Linked DNA regions of Drosophila melanogaster. The protein of the gene in region 2 interacts with the protein of the main gene of each other region in a pairwise test. Each region holds a gene or a part of one and is shown on either strand. Other genes may lie near its edges.

The links.
Region 1: the proteins of wal (region 2) and Etfb interact in a two-hybrid assay, tested with the Drosophila melanogaster proteins (2 studies listed by BioGRID).

What each region holds. Positions count from the first base shown.
Region 1 is NT_033777.3:29,800,896-29,804,763, forward strand, and holds Etfb (electron transfer flavoprotein beta subunit), read right to left. Parts: upstream 1,950-3,868; 5' UTR 1,946-1,949; coding exon 1,895-1,945; intron 1,765-1,894; coding exon 1,054-1,764; 3' UTR 704-1,053; downstream 1-703. Other genes in the region: Drice (death related ICE-like caspase), read left to right, coding at 1-22; CG7789 (uncharacterized protein), read left to right, coding at 2,407-2,785, 2,850-3,391; ncd (non-claret disjunctional), read right to left, coding at 3,511-3,868.
Region 2 is NT_033778.4:11,687,752-11,692,568, reverse strand, and holds wal (walrus), read left to right. Parts: upstream 1-1,705; 5' UTR 1,706-1,756; intron 1,757-1,824; 5' UTR 1,825-1,849; coding exon 1,850-1,891; intron 1,892-1,982; coding exon 1,983-2,123; intron 2,124-2,680; coding exon 2,681-3,490; 3' UTR 3,491-4,000; downstream 4,001-4,817. Other genes in the region: CG13197 (uncharacterized protein), read right to left, coding at 24-70, 402-601, 994-1,069, 1,157-1,179; buffy, read right to left, coding at 4,012-4,179, 4,241-4,549, 4,610-4,756.

The DNA.
Region 1 (3,868 bases), on a different chromosome or scaffold from region 2:
GGCACCAGCCGGACGGGTTTGATGGCTAATGGTATGGATCAAACGGTGGGTACGGCGAGGTGTGTGATAAACCAAGTCGCAATTAAGTTAGAACCTCATGGGCTATCGGCCTTGCAGCATATTTTTTATACAACACTTTTTTAACCTGCCCAATTGCTCGACGAGATTGGTGCCACTGCCCGTTTTATTTTATTTAGGCACAAAGTATCTTTCGATTGACATTTATTAATGTCGCATTTACTCGTCTGTATTTATATTTTTTGGGGTGGGTAGAGTAGATCGATTTAACTTAGAAATCTAAGAGGTTTTTACTCCGGCCAAAATTTTTTGACAATTTTAACTTGCCAACTGAACAAAGACGATCTCAAAATTTTAAATTCTCTACTAAACCTTATCATAGAACAACTTGCGCCTCTTTGATTCTCGATCAGGAATGTCGGCCCACCCTTATCTATATCTACCTTAGACCATTTACAGACAAGACCTTTTTACAATTTTATACACATAGATATCTTTATAGTATAAGCCTGTGTGTCATGGTCGTCCAAAACGAAAACAAACGATTTTAGCCTGTAGTCGAGTGTTTTATGAACAATATATACTATTTCTATGCCATTTGTACTCTTATATAATGCACATTAGCAAATGTTCTCCTTTCAAGTTAACCGCTAATAAATCCGATTGAAAACAATGAGAAATCAATGACCATTGGCTGTTTGCTGTTGACCCTGTCGCCTCTTTTGGGCGCCAAGTTGAGCGGCATTTCCCGAAAAGGTAGCACGCGGAGACGGAAAAATAGACGAGTCCAGCCATTGGCTGACCCTGATCGTACGATTTCAGAGCTTACAATCACTTTATTCTTAGAGCTGGACACAACGAGAATAAATTCCAATTTATAGTTCACTTAAAGCACACGGGTATGGGTTGAATTCAGAGAAATTTAAAGCCTGTCAGCAAATCCGACTCTCCGGCTAGATAAATGCACGTTTCTGATAACTTTCGACTAATTAAAAACGTAGAATATGCGCTCACAATTTTCTAGTTGAGGAACATCTAGATGTGGCCGCCCTCCTTTAGCTTGGCCACCAGGGCATCCACGTCGGCGACGGTGGCGCCGGCCTGGCGCACAGGAGGATCCTCCACGGAGATGACCTCGATGCGGGGCGAGGTGTCCACGCCGAGATCCTTGGCCGTAACCTTCTTCAGCGGCTTCTTCTTGGCCTTCATGATGTTCGGCAACGTGGCGTAGCGAGGGGTGTTCAGCCGGAGATCGGCGCTCAGCACAGCCGGGGTCTTGGTCTTGATTGTCTCCAGGCCACCATCAATTTCACGCGTGATGGTCAGACCGGCGTCTGTCTTCTCGATCTTGTTGCAGAAGGTGCCCTGCGGCCAGTCGAGCACGGCGGCGGTCATCTGGGCCGTTTGGTTGGCATCATCGTCGATGGCCTGCTTGCCAAGGATGACCAGGTCGGCTTTTTCGTCAAGAGCCAACTTGGCCAGAATCTTCGACACGTGGATGGGCTGCAGAAGCTCGTACTCGGCGGCCGGGATCTCTACGTGGACGCCGCGATCGGCGCCCATGGCCAGGGCGGTGCGGATCACCTCCTGCGACTGGGCCGGGCCCACGGAGACGGCGATCACCTCCTCGGCCAGCTTTTTCTCCTTCAGCTTCACCGCCTCCTCCACGGCGATCTCGTCGAAGGGATTCATCGAGTGCTTCACGCCCTGGGTGACCACGCCAGTCTTGTCGGGCTTGACGCGCACCTGGACATGATAAATGTAACCTGAATTAGTTTAATTGCCGCTTAATTAAGGCGATTACGCAAAACAGAGCGCAACAAGTGATAAAAAGACAATGGGACAAGATGCGCAACAGGCGACTTTTCAGGCTCACCTTGACGGCGTAGTCGATCACACGCTTAACTCCAACCAAAACACGCGCCATTTTCTGCCAAATTAGTTATAAAATTGATGAAATTTACGGAAATTTACTGAGTTTCAAGAACTTACCTCTTCAAGATGGAAATGAACTGATTTGTTGGCGGCGGGGGCGCGGGTGGTCCAAAGGTCTTCTCCGGCTACAGCGTTGCCAGACAGAGCAGCCGATTATTTGCAGCTATAAAATGTCCAAATATTCCCGCTGAAATACATTTTTAAATTCATGTATCTTAAAGGACTAACAACTTTAAGCAAAACTAGGAAACATAATTTCTGAAACTGTGGAGTTGATGAATTACGAATTCAACTATTTACGGGGGAGTAGCTAAACTTTGTGCTTTTCGCTCCTCTCTAGCCGCCAACAGCTGTTCTACTTTCACCGCAATCACTTCTCTGCAGCGACGAAAACATCTCATTCCAATCTTGAAAAGATCTCCCGCATCCTTGTCCCATACAAATAAAATAACGATGGCTGCAACTGCTCCGGTAATTATGCGCGTCATGGCGTCCTCGATCAGCACCGCCAAGCGGGCTGGCGGCATCATACGCGACGTGCTCAAGAAGGGTGACCTGGGCATAGTGGACAAGGGCAAGAACGATCCGCAGACGGAGGCAGATCGCTCTGCCCAGCGTTGCATTATCGCCTCCTTGGCCAAAAAGTTCCCCACCGTCAAGATCATTGGCGAGGAGGGTGGATCCGATCTGAATGTCTGCGACGACTGGCTGGTGAACGAGTTGGATGAGGAATTCCTGCAGCACAGTTGCCCCGCTGAGTGGAAGGATGTCAAGCCCGAGGACTTTGTCATATGGGTAGATCCCCTAGACGGCACAGCGGAGTATACACAGGGTGCGATCTGGAGATACCTGTAGAGCTCCTTATATAAAACTAAATGTTCTCCTTTCATCCGCAGGACACGTTGAACACGTGACCGTCCTGATCGGCATAGCCGTGAAGGATGCTGCTGTGGGCGGCATCATTCATCAGCCATTCTACCAACAGCCCGATGGCGAAATGGGTCGCACCATTTGGGGCCTGAAGGGTCTGGGCACGGGAGGATTCACGGCAGTCCCCGCGCCAGCCGGCCAGTTCATCATAACCACCACTCGCTCGCATTCCAATGCCCTGCATCAGCAAGCCCTCAACGCATTCGCATCCACAGAAGTTCTGAAAGTCGGAGGCGCTGGGTTCAAAGTGCTCCAGCTGCTGGAGGGAAAGGCCCACGCGTACGTCTTCGCCACGCCGGGCTGCAAGAAGTGGGACACCTGCGCACCCGAGGCCGTTCTAGAGGCCCAGGGCGGCTGCCTCACCAACATCAACGGCGAGCACTACGCCTACAATGCGGATGTGGAGCACGTGAATCGACAGGGAGTGCTGGCCAGCCTGGGACAGGACCATGCCGCGCTGGTGGAAAAGATTCCCGCCGAGGTGCGGGCAGCAGTGGGAGCCAAGTGAGATAGCTTTGAATTCCAGCACTTTATTAGTTTATTTGCACTAAAAGTAAACACACATAAATTAAGCAATAACAGGTTAGAAATTTGAAAATTGTTAAAACTGGGCTCAGAATGCATTCTTTATTTATCGAAACTGCCGCTGTTGTTGCTCTGTGTGCTGCTGTTGGCCACCGAGTTGTTCAGGTAGCGATTCCGCTTGGCCTTGGTCATTTTGCAGGAGTTTACGGAGGCCGCGAAGCGCAGCGACTTGACGGACTCTTGGAAACAGTCTTGGAACGGCGAGACGTTGATGAACATAAGCGTTTTCGAGTTGCCGCCCAGCGAGGGCATCAGCAGGTGCGTCAGCTTGGAGTTCCTGTACGGGATGTGGTCCTGCTTCTGCAGCAGCGCCAGGATTACGTTGGTGAGCTCCGATAGCGAGCGATTGATGTTCTTTGTCTCGGTCATCCGGGTGCTCGTCTTGGGAGACTCAGAGCCG
Region 2 (4,817 bases):
TGGGATGAATTGTCAGCACTCACCATTATCCGCGTTCCTTTCAAGGAAGTCAGTCACGAAAGCACAGAATCTGCAATGACATAGGAAAGAGATGGATCATTACATGAATTGGTAATATCTTGGATTGAATAACAAATTAGAATTTCTTTTCATTTCATTCCAAAAACAAAGCAAAATTAAAATAATGCATATTGCAAAACCACATTTATGCGAGCATTAAAACGATCCAACTAACGATATTAATAATATTATTAATATTGTAATTATTAGGAACATTGCCTACAATATAGTTCTTATAATAAGAAGATGAAGACTTATCCAAACCATGTTCCAAAATTACAACATTTTCGAACCAGAGCTAATAAATTTTCCTATTAATAGTTGCTTAAATTCATAATTACCTTTGGGCTAGCTTATGCGAGGGTGTCTGTTTTCCGGGGATCATCAGCTTCTGGTGGAGCACATCGTGGTTGGTTATGGCACTTGGGTGGTAGTATCGATTCGTGTTGGTCAAATCGATGATGAGACCCATATCGGGTACGATCTGCAGAAGGGATTCGGGCGCCAGCCGAAGATTCTCCTTCACTTTGGCGTTGACATGCTGCAAAAGATAAAAAAAAAGAAGGGAGCTGAGCAAATATACGAGGGCATTACAATGGGCGGCCATAGATTGCTCAATTTATGCAAAATGCCCGGAGGGCTGGCAATTAATAAAGGCCGTGGATCCGTGGCGTTATTTAATTAAGCAAAAACAATTTAATTTAATATTCATGTGGGGTCCATGTTCCAGTTGCCACTTTTATGCATAATTACAATGCACAAATTTCGTCGTCGTTCGTTGTTATTTATATTTTTAGAGGGCCGCTCAGTCGGTGGTCCAGATCCTGGGTTTTCAACATCCATCAATTGGCGGCTCTCCTGTCAACCGGTTTCTTGGATCTCGGATGGAGTGTGGTACGCCACTGGGCGGGCGGAGGATCATCGGGAACTCACCTGATTCAGCGGCACCTTAAAGGCTATGAAACGAGTGCCAGGAACACGATCTCCAATCGGTTTGTACTTCAGCCATCTGCAATTGGTACAAAAAGTAACATGAAAAAATGACCAGCATAAACAACACGGGTTTCTTTGGGATATTCTCCTAAACTGCACTCACCTGTCTGGTATGTCCTTGACCATTTTGTCTGTTCGCCAAACCTTTTACCGAAATTTAAAAATAAAATTTCGAAGTTCTTCAAAATTGTTGACAATGTTTTGCAAAGAAATAATTCTTATTCCAGTGTTGCCAGATTACTTTAAGAGATTACTCAACATATGCTGCTGAGTTGACACTGTTAGCTAAACTGTGACTGGTCACGATTATTTTTAAAACTCTCGCTCATTCGCTCTTTAACTGAAGTAATAACATTTATAATCTATATTTAATGTTTCTATTTAATAATAAATGTAATTTTTTTAATACTTCATTCTTCATTAAGCTCTTTTACAAATTTATGACTAGTAATATTAATCGGCTTGCATATTTTTTTAAATGGATAATAAAATTAAATTAAATAAGTCCATTAATCAATAATTCCAAGATTATATTTTATATATGTTCATTTTTTCACTTAAGTTCCTGCTGCTTAAAGTTCACATAGATCTGTTGCTCCATCTGTTAAGTAACAGCTGTTGTGTATTGGCTAGGAGGTACCAAAAAACGGCAAACGCTTAAATCAGCGGAAACCTTTGGACTTTCTGTGATTTTACAGCGAAGGTAAGAGTTTTAATTAAATATTAATGGACTTAAATTAATCAAACAACAATTTTCCCTCGCGTGGATAGCTCCAATAACCATCCAACATCCAAAATGTTCGCCAGCAACACGCGTAATCTTATGCGCAGCAGCATTGTGAGTGGAAATTTCTTAAAAAGATAAAAAAAAAGCGCAGGCGGTGATCGCTAAAAATTAAATAACAAAATATCAATTTTCCCACTTGCAGTTGCAGCGATGCAAGAGCACTTTGGTGGTGGCTGAGCACAACAATGAGGTACTCAATCCGATCACCCTGAACACCATCTCTGCGGCCAAGAAGATCGGTGGTGACGTCACAGTTCTGGTGGCAGGCACAAAATGCGGACCCGTAAGTCCCCCAAGAAGTCTCACATTAGGGTGGTTCCATTCGCAGGGATTTCGAATCATCAACGAATCTAATCAAATAGGCTGAACATGCATCCTAAGACCTTTGCGATCTGGTAGAAATCAAACCGGCACAGGATTATATAAACATATCTCATTAGAAAACAAGACTTTTGAGTTGTTGGTAATACTGCATCTAAGAGATAGGAATTGTTAACCTTGATTATATACTTCTGACTATAAGTACACTTTAAAAAGGGTCCAATCTATTTTCCACTTAACTCTTGCTACATTCCAGTTTTCCAATTTTCATACTAGATTAAAACTAACTAAAAATTTAGAAAAAAATGTTTTGATTTTGGATTGGTGAACCCTTACTTAGATACAATATATAGTAACCATATTTCAAAAATGCCGAGCAAAGTGATTTCAATAGATGACCATTTTAAAATACCAAGACATTTAAATTATAAAGCATCGAACCACCCAAGAGCGACTCCCACTGATCATAAGTATTTGGTGCGATAGATAATCTTACATAATCACTCTCTTGTTTTCCAGGCTTCCGAGGCTCTTTCCAAGGTGGATGGCGTGACCAAGGTTCTGGTGGCCGAAAATGCCGCCTTCAACGGATTTACCGCGGAGTCGCTGACCCCATTGGTCCTGGCCGCCCAGTCTCAGTTCAAGTTCACCCACATCCTGGCCGGAGCTTCGGCTTTCGGCAAAAACGTGCTGCCACGCGTGGCGGCCAAGCTGGATGTGTCGCCCATTTCGGAGATCATCGATGTTAAGTCGGACGACACCTTTGTGCGCACTATCTACGCCGGAAATGCTATCCTCACCCTGAAATCCAAGGACGCCGTTAAGGTGATCACCGTAAGGAGCACCAATTTCCCACCGGCAGCCACCAGCGGTGGAAGTGGAGCCGTGGAGCAGGCACCAGCTGGTGACTTCGCCAGCAGCCTGTCCGAATTTGTATCCCAGGAGCTGACCAAGTCCGATCGCCCCGAGCTGGCCGGAGCCAAGGTTATTGTGTCCGGAGGACGGGGCCTGAAGTCCGGAGATAACTTCAAGCTGCTGTATGATCTGGCCGATAAGTTTGGTGCCGCTGTGGGTGCCTCTCGTGCTGCCGTGGATGCTGGATTTGTGCCCAATGATCTGCAGATCGGTCAGACCGGCAAGATTGTGGCTCCCGAGCTGTACATCGCTGTCGGAATCTCAGGCGCCATCCAGCACTTGGCTGGCATGAAGGACTCCAAGACGATTGTGGCCATCAACAAGGATCCCGAAGCGCCCATCTTCCAGGTCGCCGATATTGGCATCGTGGCAGATCTTTTCAAGGCCGTGCCCGAACTAACCGGAAAGTTGTAAGGCGAGATTGTCACTTGCTGTAGTATAAAGATTGTGTACCGATGAATTGATAACTGTTGCATTTATTTGAATTTTGACATAAGTCCGTGGAAGATTTTCCCTTAAATTTTGTAATAAAACAAGCCGAAGACCTATTCTATGTGAAAATTGTAGTCTTATCAGTTGAGTGCAACTGTTTAAATCAGCAAAATATTTAAAAAAGGCCCAGGGCTAGCAATAACCAAAATTCAACTAGGATAAACTGTTTACTGGCATTGCAGATTGCACCTAGTCTAGGATTTGGTTTCCTTATCAGTTTCCCATCGTATATTTATTTTTCAAGAAGCTTTTATGAGAGCTTTATTAATTAAATTAGTTATACTAGAAAGCTGATCAAGCCAAAACAAATTGTAGCTAAAAGCATCAAAAAGCTTTCTCGCCAATTGCGAACTTTTTTAAAAAGTGTGAAAATGTGAAAACTGTGTACAAAAAAAGATTATAGATCAAATCAATAGGATTTTTACGCTTAATAAACAAAATGTTTAGGAATTCGTAAATCGTTGGTATATTTTTGGTACAATCAAGTTAAATATAAATCGCAGAATCATAAAAACTAGAATTAGGCCAAAAACTACGCCTATAACCAAAGTGGTCCACTCTAAAGGATTCAGGCTGTTGGTAGTGGGTAAAACGTGTGTGTTGATGCCACTCTAAAATGGAAAATCATTGAAATGAAACCTCGACAATTATGAAATGATCGGAGAAACTCACCCAACCACCATTCTCGTTAATCCACGGAACCAGCTCATCTTCGATCACCTCGGAAACGCTCTCCATCAACTTGGGCAAGTATTCCGGATGTCCTTGGCGTACACAATCAACGGACAGCCCACCGGCGATGGCGAACAGAGAGATCACCTTGCTCCACGTAATCTCCACCCGGAAGAGCTCGCGACCAACGGCTCCCAAAAGCAAGCTCACAGCATCCGGAGTATGGAACTCACCACCCGGATTCCGGCAAATCTGACGAGCTACTCCGTTGTATATCCGGGGATGCATGCGCTCCAGTTCATCGCCCAGCTTGGGCAAAGGTGTGTAAAATGATTAATATAATAAAATAAAGCGTTATTTTTTGCTTACCACTTGGACCGCTGGAAACACATCGCGCACAATGCCCATGGAGGTGGAGCCCAGTATGCTACGTATGCGCTGCAGTCCCAGCTTTTTGTTGAACAAACCAGATCTTCTGAGGCGTCTCTTGATATAATGACCGCACAGGCAACGACCCTTCGGTTTTTTTATGATTTTTGGAATCAGGCGATATTATATGTTTGTGCAAGGAATTCCT